Linked DNA regions of Rhinolophus ferrumequinum. The protein of the gene in region 1 binds, or shares a complex with, the protein of each later gene. Links are inferred from orthologs where the notes say so. Each region holds a gene or a part of one and is shown on either strand. Other genes may lie near its edges.

Region 1 (7,311 bases):
TAAAAGTTTCACCAGAAGAGGGTGCCAGAGACCATGAGTTCAAGTCAGAACCAGCCTACCGGATTATGTCAGATTTGTGGACTTTCTCCCCTGCCTCCCACCTCCTGGAAGGAATGAACTGGACCCTCAAGAAAGGATTCTGCTGCCTCTCCATACTGAGGGCAGGGCTGTCTCACTGGGATAAATCCACTGCCTTATTCACTGACGCCATTAGAATAACAATTGGTCCACTGCAAATTTGCTGGGAAGCTTTCAACAGCCCAAAACAGCCATAGCTTGACCATCAAAAAACAACCTCAGTACCCCCATCCTGCCCACGCCCAAATGGGGAGAGTGTCAAAAACATACAGGACCCCCTGGAGAGTGCGAAGGCACACTGGACCCCCAACTGAGACACAGGCATCCTAGGAAAATAAGCACACACACAAATCCACGTGCATGGACATGTGTCCCTGCAGTCATCCTTCTGGCAACACACACACGCCAGACAAGGAAGAATTAAATAAAACAAAAAGTATCACAGGGCGGTGAGGAGGGTTAGGGGCACATAACAGAAAGTGATGGAGCCTCGCGGAGAAGAGATTTTTCAATTGCGTTCTGGTGGCAGAAGGTGTTCACTGTGAAGAGAGGAGAAAGAAAGGCTTTAACGTGGATCAGTGTTCATCAGTGAACCAAAGTTGAACCACCCAAGCCACCCCCAGATTCCTGCCCACCAGAAACTGTGAGATGATAAAGGCTTACTGTTTCAAGCCACCAAGTTTGGGGGCAATTTGTTCTGTGACACTAGCTAATATGTCTGGATTTCTTCAGAAGCGAGAGCCAAAATCCACCTCTGGAATGGATATGCCTTCCTCCAAGCTTGAGTCCAGGGAGTGGCCCAACTAATGCCACTATGTGGGCACTTCAGTGGAAGAAACCTAGTTTGGGTCTGGGAGTTATGTTATAAGGGTTATAAGGCTACATCCTAAAACAAGATGACCTGGGTTCAAATACTAGTTTAGACATTTAGTAACTGTGAATTTGGGCAAGTGCGTTGACCTCTCTGGGCTTCCGTTTTCTTCTCTATAAAATGGAGATATCAGGATTCGTGGACAATTGAGTGGGCCACTGTAGTACTTAATTTCCCTTTTGAGCCTCTTGGAGAGTAGAATTGTGTCCTTCAGAAAGATTCCTTCAAATCCTAACCCACCTGCCCTCCACTCCCTCCCCCTCTCCCCACCACGCCACCTGCAAACGTGACCTCATTTGGAAACAGGGTTATTGCAGATGTAATTAGTTAAGATGAGGTCATACTAAAGTATGACCCTAATCCAATGACTGCTGTCCTTATAAGAGTGAAATTCGGATGCAGAGACACACAGGGGAGAAGGCCACGTGAAGACAGACAGACGCAGCAATGAAAATGATGTGTCTACAAGCCACAGAGGGCCACGGACTGCCAGCCACCACCAGAAGCTGGGAGAGGCAGGAAGTACCCTCCCCTGGAGCTTTTGGAGGGAGTTGGCCCTGCCAACACCTTGATTTTGGACTTCTGGCCTCCAGACGTGAGAGAATAGATTTCTGTTGTTTTAAGCCGCCCAGTTTGTGGTCATTTGTTACAGTGGCCCAGGGGAAAGAAATGCAAGCCTCTTTCCACCAGGTGGCAGAGAGCAAACCTCAATCAATGCCAGGTAATTCGATAAATTCACTTTTCCTGGGGCCAGGTCTAGGTTCAAGGGCTGTCATATGGCGTTCAAAAGTGGGGCCAGTTGGGGGGCATCCCACCTTTGAGTATCTCCCAGCCAGGCCAGCAATTTCAGGTCCTTGTCCTGCTGCTCTTTGCCATTCATTCCTCCGCCAGACACCAGGGCCTGCCTTGTACCTACAGACTTTCTGCAGCTCCTCCCTAATTTCTAACGCTTGGCTATTGTCTCTTGCTCTTGTGGGCCACTGGGAAGTTCTGGGGATGGGGGAGAAAAGGGGACAGTTGAAGCCTGTCACCACCTCCCTACTATCACCTCCCTGTGGTCACTCCACAGCCCCCTCTCCACCCTGGGCTTTCTCTTGAGTTCTCTGCTTGGCCCACAACCAACCCAGGTGACCCTGGGGCCCCTGGGGAAGTGGCCTGAGGTCTCCAGGGCAGGCCCAGGGAATTCCAAAGCTTTGGAAATGTAAACCTCTTTTTTCTCTAACTTTCATCCAGACCTTGGATTTCCACCAAGTAAAGCACTGCTCAGAAGCCAAGAAGGAAATCTGTGCTTCCTCCTTTCCTATCTGCTGTGTCATCCATCCCCTTTCCAACGGCTCAAGGAGGTTGCATCCTTGCTGGCCAGGCTGGAGCAGGCAGGGGACAGAAAAAGAAAGAAGCAGCGGGGAGCACATACCAGCAAAAGTACCAAATATTACCCAATCCCCCCATGCGGGGTTTTCAAAAAGTGAGAATGGGATGGCTGCCATAAAATGCTTCTGATTTCTACATGGACCTAGAATTTTTCTTTTTGAAGAACCTCAGATCTGCGCCGTCCTGTGGAACTTTCTGTGATGATGGGAACATTCTAGATCTGTGCTGTCCAGTGCAGACGGTCCCCAGCCACATGTGGCCACTGAGCAACTGACAATTGGCCAGAGGGCCTGAAGAACTGAGTTTTAAATTTTATTTAATTTTAATTTGTTATAAAGAGCCACAAGTATCTAGCAGAAACCAGACGAGACAAGCCAACCTTGGATGAACTGGTGCGCCCAGATGAAAGTCTACAACCACAGAGAGGAGAGCCAAGTGCACAGAGGGAGGCAATTAGCAGGCCGGATCATAAATAAAATACATTTCAATTAAGGGCCGGTTGAAGGATCATGGGTGAAAACCCTCTTTTTATGGTTCATATACAGCAGCCCTCACTTTCTCCTCCACAGACCAGCCACAAAATACAAGTTACGTGTTTACATCAGAACCGCTGGGGGCTACACATCCCAAGATCCGAACCCTCAGTTACCCCCCAGTGACAAAGCACAGATCAGGGGAAATGGAGACGGCTCTGGTTCGTGTGGATCCCAAGCCAGACACCGGCCCAGGAGCCTATGGCCAGCAGTGAGAATGTATTAGAATCCCATCAGCATTATATGAATTTTGAGCCACTGAGATTAAAACAAGATCAGCTCCAATCCAAAGTACATTTGGAGGAAAATGAAATAACAAAGGGAACATGGAGGTCCCTCTGAGCCAGAGCTGAAGGTGAGGGAGTAAGCTAGTGAGTGTCAGGTGGGAGAATATCCCTGGTGGAGAGAATAGCTAGTGCAAAGGTCCTGGGGTAGCCAGAAACTTGGCCTCTCACTCCAAAACTCCAGATTGACCACTTCACATCTTGAGTAGGCATTTCAAACTGGGCAAACACGAAACTCTTGAATCCCTCAACAGCCCCCCACAATCCCCCACCCACTTATCTCGGACATCATCCCAGGCCTGAAATACCCACCACCCCATACTAAATTTGCCTGAACTTGGAAAAAATGTACCAGCCTCAAGGCCTTTTCAGTACCTAGAAGCTTTAGGTTCTAACATCCTCTCTCCCTAGGCTTGGAGGGGAGTTAGGAAAATTCACCTTGATAAAATGTGTAGCCTGGGGCTTGGCTCACGGGCAGCACTGGCTAAAAGGGAGACGTTAAGTTTTCCCCAGAAAGGGGGCTTGAAGCTTCATTTCATTGAACGTTATTTAACATCATAAAATGTTATTAGCCCATATCTAAGGATCAGAATGAGAGTGCTAGAGATCTCCACCCAAGTCCCAGCCCCCCACCCTCCCACTCCACGCCATAAACCACTCCCGAGCATGGAGAAAAATTACCAGGCTTCTCTTCAAACAATGCAACTATACGCCGCTCGGCCCCTCCCCAGGTTGCACCCTGTGACCCCAAGCCCCAAGCCCAGGTAAATATCCTCGACCCCGCCAGCACCCGAAACTGCCTGCGGCCCTGCAAGCTGCCCTTCCCGGCTGAGGGACCGCAAGGGTTAAGCAGCAGCTCCCTGTGCTCTGATTGACAGCCCGGCCGGCGGCTGGGGCGAGTCAGCCAATCAGAGACAGTGGCCACCGCCCACGTGGGCAAGCGGCTTCACGATTGGCCAGTGCCGCTGTCTGCCGTCCCCAAAGCTTGAGCCCACGTGCAGCTGCTGCCTGTTCATTGATTGACTTTGCGGTGCAGGTGGCGGTGAGGAGGGGCCGGGGCGGGCCGGGGCGGGACCAGGGCGGGCCGGGGCGGGGCCCGACAGGTCAAATGGCCCCCAGGTGAGGGGAGGCTCTTCTTTCTGCCTGAACTTGGCTCACCCGCGCAGCTACCTCCTTGCTTCTTCTGGACCTCTATTCTACGGAAGGTGTGTAGGCCCCAGGTCAGCTGGAGGACCCCAGGGTCCCCGGGCGGTGGAGGAGGCTGGAGGGACGTTGAGGGGCAGAAGCCAAGCAAAGAATATAGTTTGGTCGCGCGATTGTGATTGTGGTAATGAAGAGGTCTCTTTTTCTTCTGCCTGAGAAATTCCTCCTAATGCACCTGGCCAACAACTCTTACTCATCCTTCAAAACCCTTTTCCAATGATGTTCTCCCATGCTTTAGAAAATTGGTCTCAAAACTAAGGTTGAGCTTTGGCATTCTTCTCTGGACTCCCCCAGCCCTGACTGTTCGCCCTGGGGGTCCCCACTATTAATCAGCACCGCCGCAGGCACCAGAGTGTTTGATGAATGAATATAGGCTGTAGGGAAAGCAGTGGGATGCTGGAGGTCAGTCGGGGTTTGGGATCCAGGTTTGGGTCCTGGAGGGGAGACCATGTTGTCTGGTGTAGAAGGCCCAGGGGTGGGATGGGGCTGCTTTGTCCCTGCCACTGCCTAGCCTTCTTCCCTCAGGACCTGCCATCTCCTTGTTGCTTTTAGAGACCTTGTGATTACTACCTGAAGATGAGCTATTGGGGCCATCCCAGCTCCCAGGGGCAACCTCCAAGGATGGTGAGGCCCCCAGGAACTTTGGTGAGGAGGGCATGAACCCCTGGGGCGGGGCGGGGGGAAGACTGGGGGCTGGGCTCATATCTAATTCTCCTGCTTCTGATGGAAGGCCTTGGGAGGGGCTGGCTAGGCTAACCCAACATACCTACTGATTGGTGCCAAGGCACTTGCTTTTTTAAAGTAAACTTACTTAACACTCAGGTGTAAAACATGACTACATCATCTGTTAATATATTACAAGCAAACTCCCCCCTCCTCCAGACGTTACTTCCCAGATATGACCATTTTTAACAGTTTAGGCTGGGGGGGGGTGCGTAAAGGACCAGAGAGGGAATAGTTTATATTTTTAAGGCAAGATGCAAAATAGAAGATACTCTGTGGGTACTTAAGTAGCAAGAGAGAAGGCAAATTACCTTCAGGTTTTAGGAGTCCTACCTCACCCTCCTTGAACCTTTTTCTAGGCTCATCCTGGGGCCAGCCTTCCAACCTTGAACTCTCAGGGCATGCTGGAGCAGCTCAAGAAGCAGTTCCCCAGGTGAGGATGATTCACAGGGGACCTGCTGTGACCCTAAGTTCCACTGAGGGAAAGATTTCAGGTCTCTCGCTGGCTCAAAAGCCCCTGACCCAAATGACAGGACTAATAATAGGGGGAACCTGAAACAGAAGGAAAACCAAACCAGTAATACCGACCCTGGCTTTATATTTAAATGTTTGATTTTTTGTTGTTCAGCGTGCATTTGCTTGCATTCAATTATATTTTTTTTAATGCTGCATTAAAATCATATTCATCTTGAGGCTGTCTTAAATGTGGCTCCTTTGAAGGGGACCTTCATTCCCACCCTACCAGGGGGTGAGGGTCATTCTGGGGAAGGAGGGCATTCCTCCCCTTCCAGCCGTCTTTCTTCCCCCACAGGTTCCCCCCTCAGTTGCCGGCACAGATGGAGAGCATTTACTACTTGGTGAGCCACAAACCAGGCAGCCCCTCCCAGAACATCCTAGAAAGGTGGTTCTGTTAGGCCCCAGGAACAGGATTTCAGGGACACCCTCTTCTCTGTTTTGCTAACTTTGGGCAAGTGAGTTAACCCATTGAGCCTCAGCTTCATGTGAGTTTTTCTTTTTTCTTTTTTTTTTTTTTGAGAATTTTTATGAGTTTATTTGAGCCAAACTGACGACATATGCCCAGGAGCAAGATCTCAAATTCTCCCAGGTTTTTTATAATAACCTTGCTGTGAAAACTAGAAATTCCATATTTAAAGGAGGTGCTTCTTCAGCTCACAGAGCATGACTAGAGTCCCTGCCCTTGAGGGACGTATGTTCTGATGTGCTGATATCTTCTAGAACTTTTCCCAGTGTTCTATATCAACAATGTCCAATGAGACATTGTTGATATAGAGCATTTGTTTTTTAATTGATTTAAATTTGCATAGTCACACTTGACTAGTGGCTACCTCATTGGACTGAGCAGTTCTAAGGGGAGGAGAGAGACATAAATTGAGAAACAAGATTCACAAACTGTAAGCATTATAAAGAAAATAGAAAGTGATGAAATGAAAAATGAGTAAAGATTTTGAGCTAGGGTAGTCAGGAAGGTCTCAGAGGAAGTGATGTTTGCAGAAGAGAAGGGGCTCCTGGTACCCCTAGAGAGAACTGGGAAAGGTGTTCAGGCAGAGGGCAGGGTATGTACAAAGGACCTGGGGCTGGTGTGTTGGAGGGACAATGAGGAGGCCCAAGTGGGAGCTGAGTGAGCAAGGGGGAGGGGTCTCTGGGGAGGTCCTTGACCTTCAATTCACATCGAGAATGGAATCCAGGGGCCTTCCTAATTAGCACCCACTCTGAGTGTATGAAGTGGTATCCCATTAATGAGAGTAGGGACCAGTGAAATAGAGTGACTTGCCCAATGTCACACAGCTGGGGAGAAGCATGCGCAGCATTCAAATTACCGACCCCCGCCCACTTCCATTGACACCACCCCCTGTGGCCCCTGTTGTTACTTCACAGCTCCAGAAGGTCCGACAGGGTCTGCAGGAACATCACAGACAGGTGAGTGAGTGACCGGGAACTCAGGTATAGCTGCCCCTCGAAAGGCAGGGTAGAGGAGGAGGAGGGCAGGGCAGGAGAGCCCTGTGGGCTTCGGGAGGACCCCATGGAGATGGGAACCCTGAAGGGCTGTGGGCAGAGGAGAGATAGGACCTGTAATCCCCCAGGATATCAGCATGTCCCCACATCTTGGGAGTGCGTCTTCCGGCCTTCTCCTCGGGTCCCTGCGTGGCTCAGATGACGCTTCTTTGTAGGTCAGTGGCTTCAGCTTTGACGGGCTTGTTCTGTGTGCCAAGCACACCCGGATTGCCAT
Region 2 (6,250 bases), on another chromosome or scaffold:
TTGGGAACCAAGGCTAAGCTAAGAGTCCTTAGCCTTGTCATCAAAAGCTCAATCCATAAAAGCAAAAATTGATTAATTGGACCTCATCTAGAGTAAAAACGTTTTTTGTGAAACACCCTATTAAGAAGATGAAAAGGCAAACTATAAACTGGGAGAAAATATTTGCAAACCACATATCAAACAAAGGACTAATATTGAAGAATATATAAAGAAGTCAAAACTCAAGAGTAAAAAATTAAATAATACAATTAGAAAATAAGCAAAAGACATGAAGAGACATTTCACTGAAAAGGATATACAGATAGCTAATATGAACATGAAAAGGGGTTCATTATCATTTGCCATTAGGGAAGTGTAAATTAAAACCACAATGAGAAATCATTATACAAATATCAGAATGACTGAAATAAAAAATAGGGACTACCCCAAAGCTGGTGAGCTTTCAGAGAAACTAGATCACTTATACATTGATGGAGTGAAGGTAAAATGATTAGGGTTTCCAAATTCCCGACATTTTGGAACTTTCAGGAATCTAGAATGGGAAATTGTATTTCCTGAGAAGTCTCGAGAATTCACGAAATAATCTTTTTTATTTAATTTTCATTGATCATCTGTAATAATGGCTGTAACAGTAAATGTTAATAAACAGAAAAGCCATAGAGAAGGTGGGCAATCGGGTTTTGTGGCCCTAGCGCAGTCTTTCAGAGGTTTCAAGACACTCCTATATGAAAAAGGTCAACGCAAAACTTGAGTAAATAAAATTTCCTAAATGGAGGTCGACTGGAATTTCATGACTAATGATTCTCTTGCACTGAGCGCTAAACAGGGGTAACTACGTATCATTTTGGCTAGGTTTCTGTTATATTTCAGGTTTGCTCAAAATATAAACAATGTAATTAATACAAACTTTATTTAACCAAACCTTAAGGTATACAGTGAGTTTTTACATATATCACGCAATGTATTAACATTCCCAATCTCATTTAAATATTTTATTTATTAAATTAAACATTAATAGAAAACAAATGCAAATATTATTCATTTGAAAATTTAAAAAATACTTCAAATAGTTTTTTTTGTTTTTTAAGATTTTATTGGGGAAGGGGAACAGGACTTTATTGGGGGAACAGTGTGTACTTCCAGGCCTGTTTTTCCAAGTCAAGTTGTTGTTCTTTCAATCTTAGTTGTGGAGGGTGCCGTTCAGCTTCAAGTTGTTGTCCTTTTTCAGTCTTAGTTGTGTCGGGCGCAGCTCAGCTCCAGGTCCAGTTGCCGTTTTCTAGTTGCAGGGGACAAAGCCCACCATCCCTTGCGGGCGTTGAACCAGCAACCTTGTGGTTGAGAGCCCACTGGCCCATGTGGGAATCGAACCGGCAGCCTTTGGAGTTAGGAGCATGGAGCTCCAACCGCCTGAGCCACCGGGCCGGCCCCTTCAAATAGTTTTTATTTGTCATTTTTAAAATGAAACTTTAAGAAACAGAGCATTAATTGCCTGATCAGACAATCGTGATCTTCGCTTTGTAACAAATATACTTGATGTGGAAAAATTTCTTTCATTTTCTGTAGACGTTGGTTGAATTATGAGTGCATCTACAAGCATCTTCAACTTGGGAGAGAATGCGTTGCTTCATATAAGCTCATTTCCTTCCTTAGAGAAGCAAATATTTTGTCTGCATGCATAGGGCTAGGCTTTGATGTCAAAATTGACATTGCTTTTGTCAATTCACACTTCAGATCAGATTCTGATTTAATGTCAGAACGCTCTGTAATGACATCCTTTATTTCTTCTCTTGGAACTTCTGCTATAAATGTTCCTTTAAAAAGTCTTCCCATTAGTGACTTTGCCGATCGTGCAATTTCATTCTTACTTGACAAGGCAAAAAATTCCTCTTCCATCTCACATAAACAACTAACGTTGCTCAAGTACTCTGTGAGAGATACAAGATCTCTAATTCTATGTTTAAACAATTCAAATTTTATTTCCTTTAAAAGCATTTGGCTCATTGATGAATTCTGTTTTTCTAAATTACTGAAAAGGAACTTAAAAATTCCTTCACTTGTGAGAATATTAGCTTCTCTATTACTTGAGGCTTCAACTGCTAATCTTACAGGTTGTAAGCAATTCAACATACCTCTCAATATTTCATAATACTCTTCTTTCCATAAGTGATCGAGTGTGGTTGGTAGTATCGGCCATCACTTTGGGAAAAGATTCATCGTGGAGAACAGAAAACAGTTTGTATTTACACAGAGAAATATTTATTTTCACAACCCAGGATTTGACTACAATGTCATATTAAGGTAAACTACCTTAGATTTCCTTAGTTAGTTCACCTGAAGATGACTTTGTAGTCAAATCCTGGGTTGTGAAAACAAATATTTCTCTGTGTAAATACAAACTGTTTTCTGTTCTCCATGATCAAACGTGCTCGATTTACAAGAGCTAAAATTAGTTGGTGCCATGCGGAGAGTCACTCGGAGGGGTCTTTGGTCCCGCTCCCTACATAAGAATGCAGGACATAGTGAGGTCAAAAAGGAACACCCACGGAGCTATAGATAGGGGAGTCACCACTATACTTTCGCTGGGTGGCTGGATTGGAGACACAGGAAGCAGGAGCCACTGAATCTGCAATCCACACTCTGCCACACTACGCGCTTGCCAGCCACTATCTGCTTGCTAGCCCCCATTTTTGCTGCTAGCGTAGCCACAACAGGTATATTAGTGGCCAATGGCTCACTGGTTATAGCTGACGGCCAACTAGCCACAGCTGATGGCCATCCAATCACAGTTGATGGCCATTTACTACCTGAGACAGCACCTTTCCACGTGTGGCCGAGAGCCTGGAAACTGCTCTCTGGGGCTCTGTCCCCACACTGGTCATGTGATATCTGATTCTGGTGTCACGTGTGCATCTGGTGGCATGTAACATTGTAACACAATGTAACTTTAGATAGCGATAAATAGGAAAAATGTCTAAGAGATACATTGTGAGTAGTACGTTTTTTTCCCATTGTGGGTATTACTGGGTTCAAGGAGCCGATTTTCCCGATTTCCCAACCAACTTTTCTCAGGATTCGGGAATGGGAAAATGAAAAAAATTCCCAAGAACAGGCGGGAAGGAATTCCCACCCGGAAACCCTAAAAATGGTATATTAAATCTGGAGACAATATGACAGCTCTATGATTAAACATAAAGTTACTATATGACCCAGCAATTCCTCTCCTACATATATAACTAAGAAAACATTCATGTCCACACAGAAAACCTGCACATGAATGTTCATAGCAGCTTTACCTGTAATAGCCAAAAGCTGGAAACACATATGTCCTTCAACAAGTGAATGGTTAAACAAACTGATACATGAATCACGTGGAATACTACTCAGCAATAAAAAGAAACAAACTTGATAAGAGCAACAACTGGATGAATCTCCAGAGAATTATGCTGAGTGAAAAAAAATAGTGCTAAAAGTTATATACTGTATAATTTCTTTTATATAACATTCTTGAAATAACAAAATTATAAAAACGAAGAACAGATCAGTGGTTGCCAGAAATTAAAGAGAGGGTGGGGATTCCCCCTCTGGCATCCAAACCATATGCACCACCTGCTGTTGGGTGTGCTCAGCTGTCTCTGACAGGTTAAGAAACCGTGTTTCCCCGAAAATAAGACCTAGCCGGACAATCAGCTCTAATGCATCTTTTGAAGCAACAATTAATATAAGATCCGGTCTTATTGATTGTCCGGCTAGGTCTTATTTTCGGGGAAGCACGGAAGAAGGCTGGAAATATGGTGGCCTCTGGGGAAGGAACTCAGTAGTCAGGGTTTAGGAGGAAGTGGGAGACTTAATTTAGCCTTTGAGTACCTTTTTTACTCCTTGAGTTTTTGCTTTTTTGATGTATTTAATTAGATTTTTTGTTAAAAAGTTATTACAGCCCGTCAGGAATGATAAACTTATCCCATTAGAACTGTCTGAAAAGCACCCGAGTCTCCACAGATGTCAGTTTGCTTCTCTGCGGATATTGTCCTGTACTTGGATCTTCCCTGCCTGTCCGGAGCTCAGCCTCGGGGCTAGAACCCACCCACCTCCGGGGAGAGCCCCAGTGCACCTGCGAGAGCTCAGGAACTTGCCCCGCGGCTGCGGAGTGGGGGAGGTGAGGCCTGGTATCCAATGAAAAGGGCGTCGGTGGGAGGGGCTTGCCCAAAGCCTGTGAAGTAAGGCCCAGGCCCCAGTGCAACCTTCAGGCTGGCAGCCCTCCCGCAGCTCCTTGCGAGGCATGGCCACCCCCAAACCGTTCCCGACGCTCGTACAGCTGGAGCAGCGGGAAGGGACACTATTCCAGGTGCTCGGTAACCTCACCAAGCGTCCCCACTGGTTCCACAATGAGTACCTGAAGACTCCGAAGACGGTTCACCTCGAGGCGTGCCTGGTGGAAGCGATCTTCGGTGAGTGGCCAGAGAGGGGAAGCCAATGCGGCCTCCTGCCCCACTCCTACCCCTCCCTGCCCCGGTTGACTGCACCCCAGGATAAGCCTGTCCTGTGGCCCTGGCCGCAATCCAGTGCCCCTGTTGCTTGCACGTCCCGTTGCCTCCCTTTCCCAAGTCCCATCCCTCATGGCCTCTTTGCCTCCTGCGCAGGCCCGGGCGGAGAGCACATCCCGCACGTCGAGTGTGTGTCGCAGACATTGCTTCACGTTAATCAGTGGGACCCCGAAGGCGAGGCTGAGATCTTGGTATTTGGTCGGCCTTCTTACCAGAGGGATGTGTCCAAGATGATCATGAACTTGGCTTACTATCACCGCCAGCTCCGGGCGCAAAGTAGGGGCCCTGGGATGAGGGGCACCCTGAGCAGCCCTTGGGTTCCTTGGGAGGGATCATGATGCGTCCTGGCCTTGCCTGGGCAGCGGTCTCAATCTCTTCGTCGCCCGGGTGGGGGAGTGTGGGTTGCCTCGTTTGCAGGGGAGCTAGAAGGCCAAATTGACCCCGTGCTCTCAGATTCCGGGCCCCCAACCCCGCAGCCCGGACGGATGACTCCTTTTGTGGAGAGAGTATGAAGGAAGACACAGGTGTGATCTCTTCACACTGCTCTTTCAGGCTCACAGAAGGACGCTGCCCTGGAGACCGGGACTCAGTGGTCTCCGGACGCTGTCGGGGAGGCCGAGACCAAGATGCCCCCGGTCGCAGTCCAGGAGGCGGCCACCCAGCGCTCCCCCGACGCTGTCCGCGAGGCGGCCACCCAGCGCTCCCCCGACGCTGCTCGGGAGGCGGCCACCCAGCGGTCCCCCGACGCTGTCCGCGAGGCGGCCACCCAGCGGTCCCCCGACGCTGCCCGGGAGGCGGCCACCCAGCGGTCCCCCGACGCTGCCCGGGAGGCGGCCACCCAGCGGTCCCCCGACGCTGCCCGGGAGGCGGCCACCCAGCGGTCCCCCGACGCTGCCTGCGAGGCGGCCACCCAGCGCTCCCCCGACGCTGCTCGGGAGGCGGCCACCCAGCGGTCCCCCGACGCTGCCCGCGAGGCGGCCACCCAGCGGTCCCCCGTCGCTGCTCGGGAGGCGGCCACCCAGCGGTCCCCCGACGCTGCCCGCGAGGCGGCCACCCAGCGCTCCCCCGACGCTGCCCGCGAGGCGGCCACCCAGAGGTCCCCCGACGCTGCCCGCGAGGCGGCCACCCAGCGGTCCCCCAATGCTATCCGGGAGGTAGCCACCCAGAGCTCCCGCGACACTACCCTGGTACTGGTTCCCAGGATATGAAGGCTTCTCAGGGCCCAGGAGCGAGAGCCAGGCAAGATTCATGTGGAAACTTCTCTGGAGCCCTCTTTTTCTAGGTCCTGCTTCTGCGCAGAAGCTGGGGAAGGTGTGGGTTGTTATTGGTTCTTCCACCTCACCCCAATGTTAAATGTGTGCAAACAGGAATCTAAGTTCTAAGAATCGAATTTCCATAATAAACACTTAAACTTCCCTAAGGTCTGTTAATTGGCTGGTAGAAGGAGAGGGAGAGGAATATTCTTCCAGAAGCCAGTATCTGCTCTAGGCTGCTTGCTATCTACGTCGAGGCAAGTGAGACGTCTCGTATTTCTTCCCAGGCACCGGCAGGTGCTTCCCTCTGCTCTTTATTCGCACACCTGGCTTTTCCGCGAGAGGCCTCTCAAGGCCATCGAGTCCATCCTCAGTTGGGAAATCTCTCCAAACCTGAGGTGTTTCTATTCAAAGTGACGTGGGATGCGTAAACTTGGTTCCAACAAGGCATGCGGC
Region 3 (7,324 bases), on another chromosome or scaffold:
GGAATGGTCTTGAATTCCAGGCTAAGGAGCAGGGCCTTTGGCCCATACACAGTGGGAGAAGCACGCATGGCACAGCCAGGGCAGGGGAAGGAGAAAAAGCGAATGTACATTTGGAAAGATCTTTCACATCTTTCACTGGGGAGGCAGGGAAGACACCGAGGCAGGGAGTTAAAAGGCTGTTGTTATAGAGGCTGGAAGATCTTAAAAAACATCGTCCAGTTCTTTTATTTATGCACAATCCGAGGCTGAGAGTGGTAAAGTAACTTCCTCAAGGTCACCGGCAAGATCAATAGCAAAGTCAAGGCTTCAACCTGTGGGTTCTGCCTCCCAGCACAGGTCTCTACAACTGCTTCAGTTTCTTCAGGAAGAGAGGAGCCCCCTGAGATTTCCCTGTTGTCCTTTGCCACTGACTCTGTCGTGTGTGCTGCCCTTACTACAGACCAGCCTGCTAGGACAGGGACAGGGAAGTGTTCCCAGAGGACAGGGCAGGGAGCATTGCCTGTCCGCTTATGAAGCGGGGGCTACTTCTGCTGCCTCTCCACCAATCAGGGAGCTTTCCAGCCGCAGGAGGAAGCCAGGAGCCAGAGGCTGGGGCTGTGGTGATGATTTATGACGGCACAGAAACAGCAGGACACTAATGTCTCTGACTGGCCTGCTTGTCCGCCAACCCAGCAGGACAGGATGCACCTAAAGGTCATGTCCTCCAGCACTGGAAATGGGGCAGAGGGTTAGCCATACTGCTTGCCCAGTGCCCTTGTGTCAGGCCAGTCACCAGAGGGCAGGGCCTCTCCTTTCCTGAGCAGATACCAATGGGTAGATCCTTACAGCCTGGGAAAGAAAATGTGTCCTTGCTACTGGGAGTCCGGAAGATCCGCCTGGGTTTGAATTCAGTCTCTAGCAGTCACCTTTGTCTTGTTACCCAGCATCTCCACGTCTCAGCTTTCTTGTCTAAAAAACAGGGATGACTCTGAGCCTCTCAATTCTTGGGACTTGACTATCTCCCACGTCTGTACAGGTCTCCTGTTGCCACAACTGAATGCCAATCGCCTTCTACTTCAGAAGAGGAACATGTTGAATCTAGAACTACGACTGTCACAGCTGGGCGGAGCACTTACTTCTCATTTAGCTTAATTTCTCACGTCAAAGAAGCGGAAATTGAGATCCAGAGAGGGCACAGGCCTTGCACGCAGAGCTGGGGGCCAGGCAGAAGGCAGAGTACTAGTTCTCCAAATCCCTGCTCCAGGTTTCTTCCAGCAGTCCCAGGCAGTAGAGGAGGAAGCCAGAATATTAAGCCATTTGCTCTGTATAATGTCATCACGCTTCTGAAACAATCCTCTAAACAACCACGGGCTGCTGGACAGCTGCAGCTTTAAGCCTAGAGTCTTAAAAAAAATCAAAAGGGAAAGGAGGGCAGGCCCAGCTCTCCTCTGCACCACTGGATGGAAACCTCGATGTGGAGACTGCCCATGTCATTACTGTTTGGCTTTGGAATATCCTTTTGATGGAGGAATATTTTCCTGTGATTCCCCAAATGATGTAGATGATGTTGGGTCTGCCGGCAGTTTCTGGGTGTGGGCCGGGATTGTGTCTCGTGAGACCCAAGAATGGAAACACGGACCCAGGAGAGGCAAAGAGTTTTAAAAAGAGGATAGTTTATTGAAGGCAAAGAGTCAGAGCTCCTGAGTGAGAGGGGGTCCCGAATGGGGGTGGCCCCGTGAGTGAGGCAAAAGCTCTTATTTTTATACCTTCCCTTGTCCACTTGGGGAAGGGGAGCTGTTTGAAGAAGGGAACTGGCGCCTTCTAATGAAATTCTTCTACCAGGTTTGTTCTGCTTGCCCATCCTAAAGGAATTAGCAAAGTAACCCACTCTTTATCTATCAGATCTATTCCGTTTGTCAGGCCAAAAGGAATTTTATGAACCTCAAGGCCTTGTTACATTATGTCCTGGAGCGAAGGAGTGATTTCAAAACCTGGAGTTTTAGGATATGGCTGTCTTTGTTTACTCCACCAGAGACCTCCCTGTCTACCTAGGGACATGCTAACTATCCTGTATCACTTTCTTTGCATCTGCTTTACTTTTCCAAAACAGATTTGGCCTTGATTTTTTAATTTTTAAAATTTTTTTATGTACATTGGGCTAGTGGGGAAAGGAACTGAGGTGGAGAGGTCCGAGAGGCGGCCTGAAATGTGCCAGGAAGTGCCCGAGATTTAGCATTGACACATTTAATTCACATGTGGACAACCAGCGCTGGCTGGAAGGGCTCATTTCCACAATCCCGTGATGCCCAGGCCAGAATGGTTCAGGCCTGACCTGCAGGAAGGAAGAGAAAGGAAGAGGAATGACTTGGCGAACAGTCATGTAAAAGACAGAAGGAAGCAGGAGGGTTTATTCACCAACAGGATTGCATTTTGCTGGGTGGTGTAGTAAGAGGAGAGGGGCTGGATCCTATGTTGGAGGAGGGGGAGAAGAGAGCTATTTCTAGATTCTCTCCTCCTTCAGTCCATTTCCTCCACTCCTGCCAGAGCAATCTCCCTATAGTGCATTCATTCACTCATTTCTTTACTTCCTATGTTCTACAGATTTACTGTGTGCTAGGTACTGTGCTAAGTAAGCACTGATGAAGGAGGCAATGATGAAGACAAAACACAAACCTCACTTTCTGCCTTTGTTAAAATCTCTCACAGGCTTTCTATTTATTTCAGAATAAAGACTTCTCTCCCTTCCTTGCCTGCTATGCAGGGCTCCTTCTGTTCTGGCTCCTGACTCCATCCCCAGCCCCACTACCCATCACTTCAGGCAACAAGCACGATTAATTCTTTGCCTACCAATAAATATGTCAGGGAGGAACCAGCCTCTGAGTCCAGCTGCCTGTGTCCTCTGCCTGCTGTCAAATCCTTACAAGTCCTTTAAAGGCTGGGTTGGAAATGTTACCAACCTCCCTGGAGAAGCTTTTCAGAATCTCTTCCTATCTAGCCTGAAAGAATAACAAAACAAAACAAAACCCCAAAACTTAACAGTGCTTAACACATTTTAAATTCTTTGAGGGCAGGGTTCCACGCCCTCTTCCTCCAGCATCTAGCCTAGAGCCCGGAATATTCTTTCAAAGAAACTCCTTCATTCTAGGTTCTCAAACACAACACTTCATATCTCCTGCTTAATTTTTTTTATTCCTTATCACTTTCTGACATAGTCTACATGTTTATCTTGCCTATTTTCTTGGCCAGGGTTTTGTTGTTGTTGTTCACTGCTGTACCTCATTGTTTAGAACAATGCTTGGAACATGGTAGGTGCTCAATAGATAATTGCTGAATAAATTAATAAAATGTGCAGTCAAAACAAAACTATGGGGTATGTGAGCTATGTTGAATGTCAAAAAGGGAAGCATATGAGCAAGAATTTGTCAGCTTGACCTCAGGGTGTATTTCCTAGGTGGGGAGAGGATTGGTTAACCCCCAGATACAACCCATGTTAAACATACTGTAGGCTCTTGGTAACAGAATTGAATTTTTAACACTCCACACTAGAGAGGAAGAAGGGGCTCCCCAGGGGTCAGACGGCGGACAGCTGCATCCTTTCCGTAGATTAACCAGTATGCCTGGCCAATATTTGTCCTTCCATGTTTTCACCTCATCAGGTTCCAAGAACCTCAAGGTGGGGTTGGGGAACTGGAATCTTGTGGGAGTGGATGACAGTTTTAGTTCCTTAATTCAACCATCCCAGGGGCGGGCAGCACTCTGGCAATTTGGATCTACCTTGGACATGCTCCCTCTCCTGTGAACCCCCTTAGCCTGTTACTTTATCTCGGACATTGGGTCCAGGGCTAGGGCCCTGGCCCGGTCCTCTTGTAATTTCCCTGAGAATATGGGGCGGGGCCGTGAATCAGCACTTGCTCCGACTGATGCAGCCTTCGTCCCCGCCAGGGGTCCCCAGCGGCCGCGGATTTAGAACCCCCTCCTTCTTCCTCCTCCAGCGTGCGATGACCACTGGGAGATGTAGTGTTGACCGCCCCTTTGTCCTTGATCTTTCCAACGTATCACCCCGCCAGTGGATGAACTACAACTCCCAGAGATCCATGCGCCGGAGGTCTGGCAGGGCGGGGGTCTGAAGGGGGAAGGTGAAGTGGACTGCTTCTGGAGAAACTGGGCCGCAGGAACCCGAGTGAAATGAAGAACGGGGAGTGCTGGGGTGCAGCCGAGAAGGAAGGGGACGCCTAGAAGGTGGCGGCAAGCTGATTGGGGAGGGGACGCCCGAGAAGCGGAAGGGCCGGGGAGGAGCCTGGGCGGGGTGCGCGGGCGGGGCTAGTTGCGTCACGGTGTGGGCGGGGCCGCAGGGGGTTGTCCGCCCGCTGCACGCACAGCAGCCGCAGCCGCCTCGCGCCTGGTCCCGCGGTCGCAACTTGAACCGCAGCCTCCGCGCCGCCTCTGCTGCTTGGTTCGTGGATCGGTTCCTCCGGCACACGGGCTCCAGCCGCGCCACAGCTGCCTTCCAATCCCTCTAGCCGTCCCGATTTCCTTGTTCGGCCCGATTCAGCCCCGAAGATGGTGGACCGCGAGCAACTGGTACAGAAAGCCCGGCTGGCGGAGCAGGCGGAGCGCTACGACGACATGGCCGCGGCCATGAAGAACGTGAGTTTCTCCTCCCCTCCCCCGCATCGCCCCAGCCCATTCGCCGACGCGGGCCTTCGCGTGGACGGCCCAGGGACTAGTCGCCTGTCGCGACTACAGGGTTGGCCGCCCCTCCTCGCTCAGTGAGGGGACAGGGGAACGTCTCGATGATGGGAACCCGGGTTGTGACGCGGCCTCTCCCAAAGTGTTCGCGGGAGCTGGCGTCGCTGCCTCCGCGGCCCTCCCCGGGCTCGGGCTGGGGCGGGGTCTTAATAGGGCAGGTCTCGGGAGCAGGGTCCCTGGATCCCGCGTCTTTGGAGCTGCTGGGGATCTGAGCGGGGGCCGTGGGCATCCTTTGTGCCCCACTTCCCCCTCCTCCCAGCCTGGGCGTGGGGGCGGGGGACCGCATGGATGCGGTTCCTCTTTCTCTCCCTGGTGTCTGGGCGGCGCCTTTCCCATTCACTGAGCAGGTCTCCCGGTTTCCTAATACTTACCCCCCTCCCCAAATCTTCCCCACTGCTGCTCCTGACAGATCCTTTAGAGTCTCCCCGGGAAAAATGTAGTCAGGCTCTCCTGAAAACCTGGGCTCAATGGTGCAAAGTCGAAACCTCTTTTTTCACGTTTTTCTTAACAAAAGGCTCCTCTTTCTCCATTTCCCAAAGCAAAGTCCTCGTGCTTTAAGGAAGGGGGAACGTTTGTCTTGCTAGCGTTTTTCATTGATTGTTCTCAACCTGTCATCTCCATTTTTCCCTAATGTTTTGTATTGAAAAGGGTAGGTATTGTCTTCAAAATAAAGGTTGTGAATTTAGCTGACTGGTTCAATTTGTGACATGCTGTTTCTTTTTTAAATACAGGCACACATCTGTTGAAATTCCAATAAGTTGAAAAAATACTCTCTGATCTGATATTGCAAACAAAGCGGTGGTGGGAGGCAGTATCAAGTCATTCCAGAAGATTCTGCATTTGTCATATTGCAGAGAGCCTAGACTGGGTGGAGGCTGGGAGGAGTTATTTTAAAGGGGAAAAAGTCTTTTTTATTTTTTCCCAATTTGTTTTGTTAGATACATCTGAGGCTTTTTTTTAAAAAAGCTAGCGCATCCTCATGCTGATGAAAAGAGAATACTGATCTCCAGTTGTCGCATTTTGTATAGGATGCAGATTCCTGCCTGTATTGCACCATTTTGTCAGTAACACTACATTTATCTAACGGCCTGTCAACGACTTTGATACTCGAGGGGAGGCATGGAGCCATTACTAAATGAAACATGGCAAATTATCCAATTAATGATTTAGATTTCCCACTAACTTAATATTTAAATTCCCGCCTTATGTAACCAAGATTTTAAAGTGTACCTCCAGCGTGAGGTGGATTTATTTAGAAGTGTACCTTGCATGTTAAATCTGTTTAATGAAGCAGTACAGGTATTCAGATTCCTGAATAATTTCACTAGTTCACAGAGGTGATAATGCTTTTATATTTAGGCCAGCTATGTGAACAACAAAGATTTTTTTATCTCACTAAGGAAGAACATTGGTTCTGAAATTGGTAGTACCACTGTATTAATATGTTGCCACAGTTGCTGTCTTAAAACATTTTAAAACTAGAATGATAGAAGTTGCACTTTTAATAGTTGGAAATGTCTTTAGTTCATGTCATTTAGATTCTTCTAATTTTTCCATGTTTCTAGTTTCACAGGAAAGCGAGTGACCTCGCACCTATATCCATAGCAACCCAGTGATGTCACACACAATGACACAGAGGCTGCAATGCACCTAAGGGCTGGTAGGGAGTATGCAAATGGCATTTGTCCAAGGTAATGCAGAAATTAGCTGATAAGCCAGGTGGAGTTGAGTACTTCATCTCCCACCAGATAAGAATTGGTGCAAAAATAAGAATTTCATTTATCCTTAGACATGCAAATCAGTGACCTACAGATATGCTTATTCATGTTCCTATTTCTAGTTTTCTCACAAAAGTTGATAAGATAATTTGTATTTTTAAAGATAGAAATTTTAAACAAGAATGTTTTATGGTCATAGTGTAAGGATGGGCTGTATACTTGGGTTTATAGCAAATTTACTTGGCAGGTTTTAATAAAAACCTTAAACAGTTATGACTTCCCACTAGGTCATTTTCAGTAAATGTTAGGGAATGGGAATCTATTACAAAACACTTTGGGATTTGGCAAAGTTCTCTTTTGCTTTATTAATGCTTCTGCTCCTTGATGGAGCTTGGAGGAAAGAACAGTTTGTAAAATAAAGCAGACCTTTTTTTTCAAACCTGTTTACTGTGATTTTGAAGAAGTACGTTTACCTCAGTCCTCATTTTCCTCATCTGTAAAATGGGTCAGTACCTATTTGAAAAAGTTGTGAGGATTAAATAAATGCAGTAGGTGCTCAAAAATGGTAACTATTTATAAAACTTTGTTTCTTCCTTTTATAAAAATCATCTCATCATGAAGCATTTGGAAAATACAGGAAGATATAAAGAAAAGACTCAATCCTGCCACTCCAGTGAGCTCTCTGAAATTGCCTTGCTGATAGAGGGATAAAACTTACGGGTATTTAATAATATTATCCTAGTAATGACACTGTTGGGACCTGTGCAACAGAATGGTAGTTGTATGTGGGTAACCAGGAGAGAAGTAACATGTAGTATTCTGAAAGGAAAAAAGGAAGTTTAGTCTTTTAAGATAAATGTGTAGTCTTGTATTTAAGG
Region 4 (6,003 bases), on another chromosome or scaffold:
TGTCTGTACACAGAGACCCTGAGTCTATAAATCACCAAGGCTGGAAATTCTGACTCAGATGTGAGCTCCAAAATGAGGCCAGTCTTGATTTTCCAGGCACATTACCTAGGGGAATTACTGACTCATTCATTGTTTATGAGAGCTCAGAGCAGTGTTCCCATCAGTAGGAACCATACACTTGGAAAAGACTAGAAGAAGCCTATCACTAACTTTTGCATAAGTTATTAGTGATACCACCTCCGCCCTAGATGGAATAGAGATCAGTCATAACTCACTGTCCTAAGTAGTGATGGACAATTGTACTGCTTATTTCTTCTTGGCTGATTATGGTGGCATCTGTGCCATGGCTAATACTTCTTCTTTTACTTGGATCAATGAAACAGGCAAGGTGGAACAAGCTATATATCACCTTAAGGAAAAAGCTATGTGACTCGAAGGTTGTATGGTCTATGGAATTTGTTTTCTTGGCCTAGGTGGGGCAATTAGGATTCCTGGTTCCAAAGCATTTTATATGGATTATTAATTGTTCTTGTTTTTGTCATAGTAGTCAGGCTGACCCTTTGCATTTGTTAAAGAGAAAATGGAGGCCACAGTTTGAATATACCCCTAGACCAAACACTCATAGCCACGTAACCAAACCTTAAAACTGTCCTGATTTCCCTGAGATGATTCTGACTTTAAACAAAACTTAAGCTTTCTTCATGTCAGCATAATGTTATAGCTTCCTAGCTAATCAGCTACAAACAAATAAGCTTATTTAGTACTTATTTAGTACCCTAATAAGAATTTAGTTTCTAATAGTCAGTCACAATACAAAACAATGCACTTCCTCATTCATATTTTATAAATTGAGCTATAACTGCTGAGATCCAAGTTTCAAGCCACTTGTTTTTTGCAAAGTTTGTTTCTCACTCAATAAAATATTCATCTCAAGTACAGCTCTCTGAATATTCTTTTAACATATTCTATGCAGTCTTAAATGCTTCTACATAGTCACTCTCCAACAGATGATCTCAATGATGATACAAAAAGGGAAAGAAGATCTTGTGATCTGGTTGACTATAAGGACAACTGAACAATCTCTAAGCAGTGACAATCTGGATATCTAGCTTTCCCTGAATTGGTCAACCCCTCGAAAATTAGAGAATGGCCAAAAGTAGGGACTGACAGACTGAATATATAAGCAGACAATGTCCAGAGCAAATATAAAAATAGAACTCTAACCCACAATCTGCAGCACTTAGTCCAGCAAGCCAGACAACACCTATGGCTATCAACACCAAATGGCCAGGACTTGATTAGTAATGACAGCTTTCCTAATTTTTGCCCTTTATTTCAACTTAGGACCAACTGGAGAAAGCCAAATATGTACCCCTAACCAATCACATAAATTCCCCCACTTTGTTAGCCCACCTAGAGCCTCCCCATGCCAATACATTCCTTCTTCAGTCATACCTGAAGCCTTCCTTTTCTTCTACTTTAAAGCTTTCCCACTCCTGTGCCTGCCTTTGAGTCTCTGAGAAACACAGTGACGGTATCTGACTCCCTTGCACTACAGCAAACACTGAATATGTAGCTTTTCCTTGTTCCCATTTGGGTGGTTTTTCTTGTTCTTTTTTTTTTTTTTTGGTTTTGTTTTCTTTTATTTTGGTCTTTGTTTATTTCCACACAAGATAATTCATCAGTTATTTGTTGAAGCTGTGTGATCAGTATGTGATCATTCATTTATATTACCTTCTCTACTTTTGTAAATGTTTTAAATTTTCCACAATAAAAAATTTAAAATATTTCAAAATATCAATGTCATTAAAGATTAAACAACAGAGAATGATTCTAGATTAAAAGAGACTAGCGACATGACAAGTAAATTCAATGCATGCTCCTTAACTGAACTGTAGATTTGAAAATATTAGCCATAAAGTACATTATTGGAAAAACTGAAATTGGACTGTATATCAAACAATATTGAATCAATTTAAATTTCCTGAGTGAATAATTGTAGATGCTTACATAGGAGAATGTCCTTGTTCTTAGGAAATGATGTTGAAGTATCTGGGATAAAGTGTCATGATGTTTGCTACTTACAAATATTGCATGAAAGTTATATATAGGTAGAGAGATAAAATAAATGAATAAAAATATTAAAATGGTGAAACCAAATGAAAGGCATAGAATGTAAATTTAATGTTTTAACAATGTTTCCATAGGTTTAAAGTTTTTCAAAATAAAAAACTGGTGTGAAAAGAATACAAGAAAATACTATATGCAATATTACAAAAAAAGTAAAAGCAAAAATTTTGATTCTTATGTACTTTTTTAAAATAGAAAAATAATACAAAATCTATTAATAGTTAACTATATTGTGAAGGAGAGAACAGGATAGATGAGAAGGGTTGAAACTAGATTTTTTTCTGAATGTATGTTGTTTATAATAAAATGTTTTTAAAATGTACTTTGTAAGTTATTCTTACATTCTAAATAGCTTGTCAGTGATGTTTTTCATTTCTTACTTTACTTGAATATTATTTAGTAGTGTGATATAATGTCTCCCCATCCATCCATCCATCCATCCATCCATCCATCCAAGGGAACTAGTATGGTATAGTTACTGTTTGTAAATGCTCTTAAACATTACAAGAATGCACTCTATTGTTCAGAACTATTAGGGCTTTATTGTATTCCTTTTCCACATGATTGCTTCTTGTCTGACGGTAATTTGTTAAATATCTCCTTAGGAGTTTACTTTCCTCATTTTTCTATCTGTGATATACACTTTGGTGTGATTATTTGGTACAAAAAAATTGGTGTTATGTCTTCATTATGCTTTGTAACATTTTTCATTGTATAAAGATTTCATCTTAAGAGTTGAAGATTACAAGAAGTGAAGTAATGAAGAAGAAAGCTTCTCAGGGAGAAATTATAAAGCCAATTCACTCACATACTTTATTGGCTGAATCCACAGCCCCTCAGACTGTTTCCTCCTGGGCTAAACAGAGAAAATGAAAGCATATGATCCTCTGGAAGTCTTCTTGGTAGAAGAGTTTTAATAACTTGCATCAATCACACAGCTAGAAAATGTTGGAGCCAGTATTCAAATCATGCCCACTCCCCACCCATCAGAGTCAAATCAGGAAACTTGCAGATAACAGTGATAAAACTGATTCATCTTAGAAGATTCTGCTAACTCCTAATAACTTTGCAATTCTGAAGTTTTGAAGCTGGCATGGGGTCAGCAAATAAAACTTGAGGCTTGCCAAATGTAGGAACCTTAATATGGGGTCTCTGCATAAAGCTAGGACCCCAAATGACTACACTTCCAAAATAAAACTAAATCAGAAATAAACTATGTTATCCAGATGGGGATGGCAAAGGAACTTGTCTTGATTTTGCCTTTCTCAAGTATGTCTTCACCTAATAATTAATTACCACAAACCAGGCTTGTGGCTAACTCTTGCTATATGTAGGAGTCTGAAAATTTTCAAGGAGGTAAATGAAATTGCCTCATGTTGGATGCATTCTCAAGAGAATGGCTCAAGTAAAAAAATGATCAATTTATAAAAAAATGAAGTTATCTCCCTACCTAATGCCCAGTTTTTTTTTTTTTTTAAATTAACCCCAAATGATTCTAGGATTTAAATGTTAAGACAGAAACTTCAGCATTCTTAGTAGAAAGTATAGTGAACATCTTTAGACCTCAGGACAGGAAATGATTTCTTAAGCAAGACATGGAATGCACTTACTACAAAGACTGATAAACTGACTATATTAAAATTAAAAATTTATTCATCAAAAGTCACCTTAAAGCAAGTGAAAAGGCAATTTAAACTAGAACATATTCACAATAAACAAAAATTTTAAAGGATTAGTAAGAGATTGAGGGAGGATACATGAAAGGGAGAACTTTCACATATTTATGATCCTCAAGACTTTTTTTTTTAACAATGTACACGTATTTTTATGTTGAATTTTAAAATTAAATTGAAGAAATAAAATATTCACTAAAGTTTGATTCACTATCTCCTCTTATAGAGACTATCTGTTGATAACTGTGATGTGGAGGAGGCCTTCGAGGCTGATACCTCATTGGGCAGAGAAAACCACGGCTAGACAGCTTCTGAGATCCAGCTGGAGCTCAAATAAATACTAATTCAAGGTCGAAGAGGAAGTCCTGGTGATTGACGCAGAGCAGGAAGCGCCCTGCGGCACCCACCAGGCCTGGGTGCCCAGAATCAATGGGCCCACTTGCCCCAAAGGGCCATGGGACTCCGCCGGAAGGGGCGGGGCTGGCCGGAACTGTAAAAGGGGCACAGGCCTCGCTCCTCTCTGGAGTTCCGCCCGCGTTGCCTGGCTCTTGGTTCCGGCTACTGGTCCTAGTATGGCGGACCACGGAGGTGCGGGGGCCCAAGGGCACGACTGCAAGCCCGCCCACTCCCTGGACGTGCTAATGAAGGTACCACTTCAACCACCACGGATTCGCACCCGGCCGTGGTGGTTTCCTGTGCAGGAACTGAGAGACCCGTTGGCGTTTTACATGGAGGCATGGCTGGCTGACTCAATCTTCGGTGAGCGACCTGGGGTGCATGGGTGGCCTAGGCCCCTACAGTCTGAGAGAAGCCAGCAGAGAACCTCGTCACAGCCTCTTTCCCAGATTCGCAGGCCACGTTTGTAGCCATGATACCAGCTTCCAGCTCTTCCCTCCCCGGCTGACATCCCCTTCAAACCTAGCTCCTCCTGACCTTCGACGGTGCCTCCCCTGAGTCTCTCTTTTTCTATTTAGGCGCAGACCGAGCCATCATTCCGGACATAGAGTGGATGAACCAGGTCCTGCTGACGGTAGACATGGTAAACGACGGGAACTTTGTCGAAATCACCATCTTTGGACAGCCCCGTGTGCAAAATCGGGTGAAGAGCGTGCTCCTGAGCCTGGCATCAAGGCACCGCCAACATCGTGCCCGAGGTGAGGGTCTGAAAACCTGCATGTGGAGGGAGCCACGGGTGAGCCATCTGGCCGTACCTGACTTCCTCCCAACCTCTCTCAGCTTCCTAATATTTTTTGCAGTTTCCCAACTCCAGTATGCTTCACGCAGCCCCTGGGCATCCCTTTGTGAGAGGAATCCAAGTAAGACCTTGGGAGAGTAAGATGACATCTTACACGTTCAGGCCTATCACTGCCCATGCCACCCTCAGCTTGGTTAGCCATTATTTCCAGATCCCAGGTTCGGAGCCTCCAGCCTGAGAAATGATGTTGCCAGCACTTTCCCCTAACCCCCCAGTGATGGAGTAGTTTGAAACAGCATTTTTCCCTATGCAGCTCAAAAGATGAAACAACTTGAGGAGTTCTTGAAGGCCCGCGCATCAGGTCTCCATACGGTCCAGCATCCTGTTGCATAAGGATTGTCAGGAGCATTATGAGAACAATCCTGCTTCTGCTGTTAAAATTGAAGAGAAGCAAGTATTCTTAAATCCCTACATTTCTTTTTTCCTTTGCTTTGATGGGTAATGGTTTGATTATGTTGATGCCAGTGTGAGTTTGTAGTTGCCCATCTAGTAAAGAAATGAATTTCCTTTTTGTCCAATGGCGTAAAGATCTTTGCTCGCTTAAAATTAAGTAAATTTACAAAAGATTGACTGACTGTTCATTCATATCTTGATGTGTAGCGTGGGTAAAAGGCCTGAGAGGTAGTGATTTTCTTTTTGTTTCTTAGTTTCTACCATTTTGAAATTACTAACCCTTCTATGATTTTATGGTCAGAGTCAGGCCCTCAAGCACAGGGAGAAGAGATGAAGGGTCAGTTCTGCTTTGGTTTTTTTTGCATCATTTGTTCTCAAACTTTAAAGTGTGGAACAATCACCTTGAGAACTTGCTAAAATACTGTTTGCTAGGCTCCTTAAGTGATTGTGGTTTAGTACATTGGGTCCATGAATTTGCATTTCTAACAAGCTCCATAGGTAATGCTAATGATTCTTTGAGGCTCGCACTTTCAAGCTGCTGATTTGAGTGTG

What was found.
Region 2: TLE6 (region 1) and KHDC3L share a complex: the UniProt entries of both Homo sapiens proteins name them as parts of the subcortical maternal complex. The link is inferred for Rhinolophus ferrumequinum from reciprocal best matches to the Homo sapiens genes TLE6 and KHDC3L.
Region 3: the proteins of TLE6 (region 1) and YWHAG are in contact, whole or in part, in a cryo-EM structure (PDB 8XI3), measured with the Mus musculus proteins. The link is inferred for Rhinolophus ferrumequinum from reciprocal best matches to the Homo sapiens genes TLE6 and YWHAG. Residues at the interface, in NP_444484.1 of Mus musculus: Phe137, Leu138, Ser139, Glu140, Ser141, Asp142, Leu144, Gln145, Leu295, Arg347, Asn430, Leu447, Gln470, Met472, Asn489, Asp510, Asn511, Thr512, Met530, Pro553, Arg555; in NP_061359.2 of Mus musculus: Lys50, Arg57, Arg61, Lys125, Asp129, Arg132, Tyr133, Gly174, Leu177, Asn178, Val181, Glu185, Phe201, Asp202, Ile205, Ala206, Leu208, Asp209, Glu213, Tyr216, Lys217, Thr220, Leu221, Ile222, Met223, Gln224, Leu225, Arg227, Asp228, Asn229.
Region 4: the proteins of TLE6 (region 1) and OOEP are in contact, whole or in part, in a cryo-EM structure (PDB 8H94), measured with the Mus musculus proteins. The link is inferred for Rhinolophus ferrumequinum from reciprocal best matches to the Homo sapiens genes TLE6 and OOEP. Residues at the interface, in NP_444484.1 of Mus musculus: Trp256, Ser258, Phe304, Thr305, Arg306, His307, Val318, Asn320, Val322, Asn323, Glu332, Ser333, Asn354, Ser355, Arg356, Leu373, Ala374, Ala375, Pro376, Ser377, Leu378; in NP_080756.1 of Mus musculus: Arg32, Pro33, Trp34, Trp35, Pro37, Gln39, Glu40, Glu67, Trp70, Met71, Gln73, Gln94, Pro95.

The regions. Positions count from the first base shown.
Region 1 is NC_046301.1:60,230,201-60,237,511, reverse strand, and holds the start of TLE6 (transducin-like enhancer protein 6), read left to right. Parts: upstream 1-4,288; 5' UTR 4,289-4,342; intron 4,343-4,892; 5' UTR 4,893-4,916; coding exon 4,917-4,985; intron 4,986-5,422; coding exon 5,423-5,496; intron 5,497-5,874; coding exon 5,875-5,920; intron 5,921-6,959; coding exon 6,960-7,001; intron 7,002-7,311. UniProt on the Homo sapiens protein: Component of the subcortical maternal complex (SCMC), a multiprotein complex that plays a key role in early embryonic development.
Region 2 is NC_046286.1:34,639,776-34,646,025, forward strand, and holds KHDC3L (KH domain-containing protein 3), read left to right. Parts: upstream 1-4,276; coding exon 4,277-4,445; intron 4,446-4,637; coding exon 4,638-4,817; intron 4,818-5,093; coding exon 5,094-5,749; downstream 5,750-6,250. UniProt on the Homo sapiens protein: Component of the subcortical maternal complex (SCMC), a multiprotein complex that plays a key role in early embryonic development.
Region 3 is NC_046290.1:92,431,091-92,438,414, forward strand, and holds the start of YWHAG (14-3-3 protein gamma), read left to right. Parts: upstream 1-4,322; 5' UTR 4,323-4,539; coding exon 4,540-4,626; intron 4,627-6,087; exon of another isoform or gene 6,088-6,419; intron 6,420-7,067; exon of another isoform or gene 7,068-7,166; intron 7,167-7,324. UniProt on the Homo sapiens protein: Adapter protein implicated in the regulation of a large spectrum of both general and specialized signaling pathways. Binds to a large number of partners, usually by recognition of a phosphoserine or phosphothreonine motif.
Region 4 is NC_046286.1:34,652,880-34,658,882, reverse strand, and holds OOEP (oocyte-expressed protein homolog), read left to right. Parts: upstream 1-4,375; coding exon 4,376-4,562; intron 4,563-4,777; coding exon 4,778-4,957; intron 4,958-5,311; coding exon 5,312-5,391; 3' UTR 5,392-5,476; downstream 5,477-6,003. UniProt on the Homo sapiens protein: Component of the subcortical maternal complex (SCMC), a multiprotein complex that plays a key role in early embryonic development.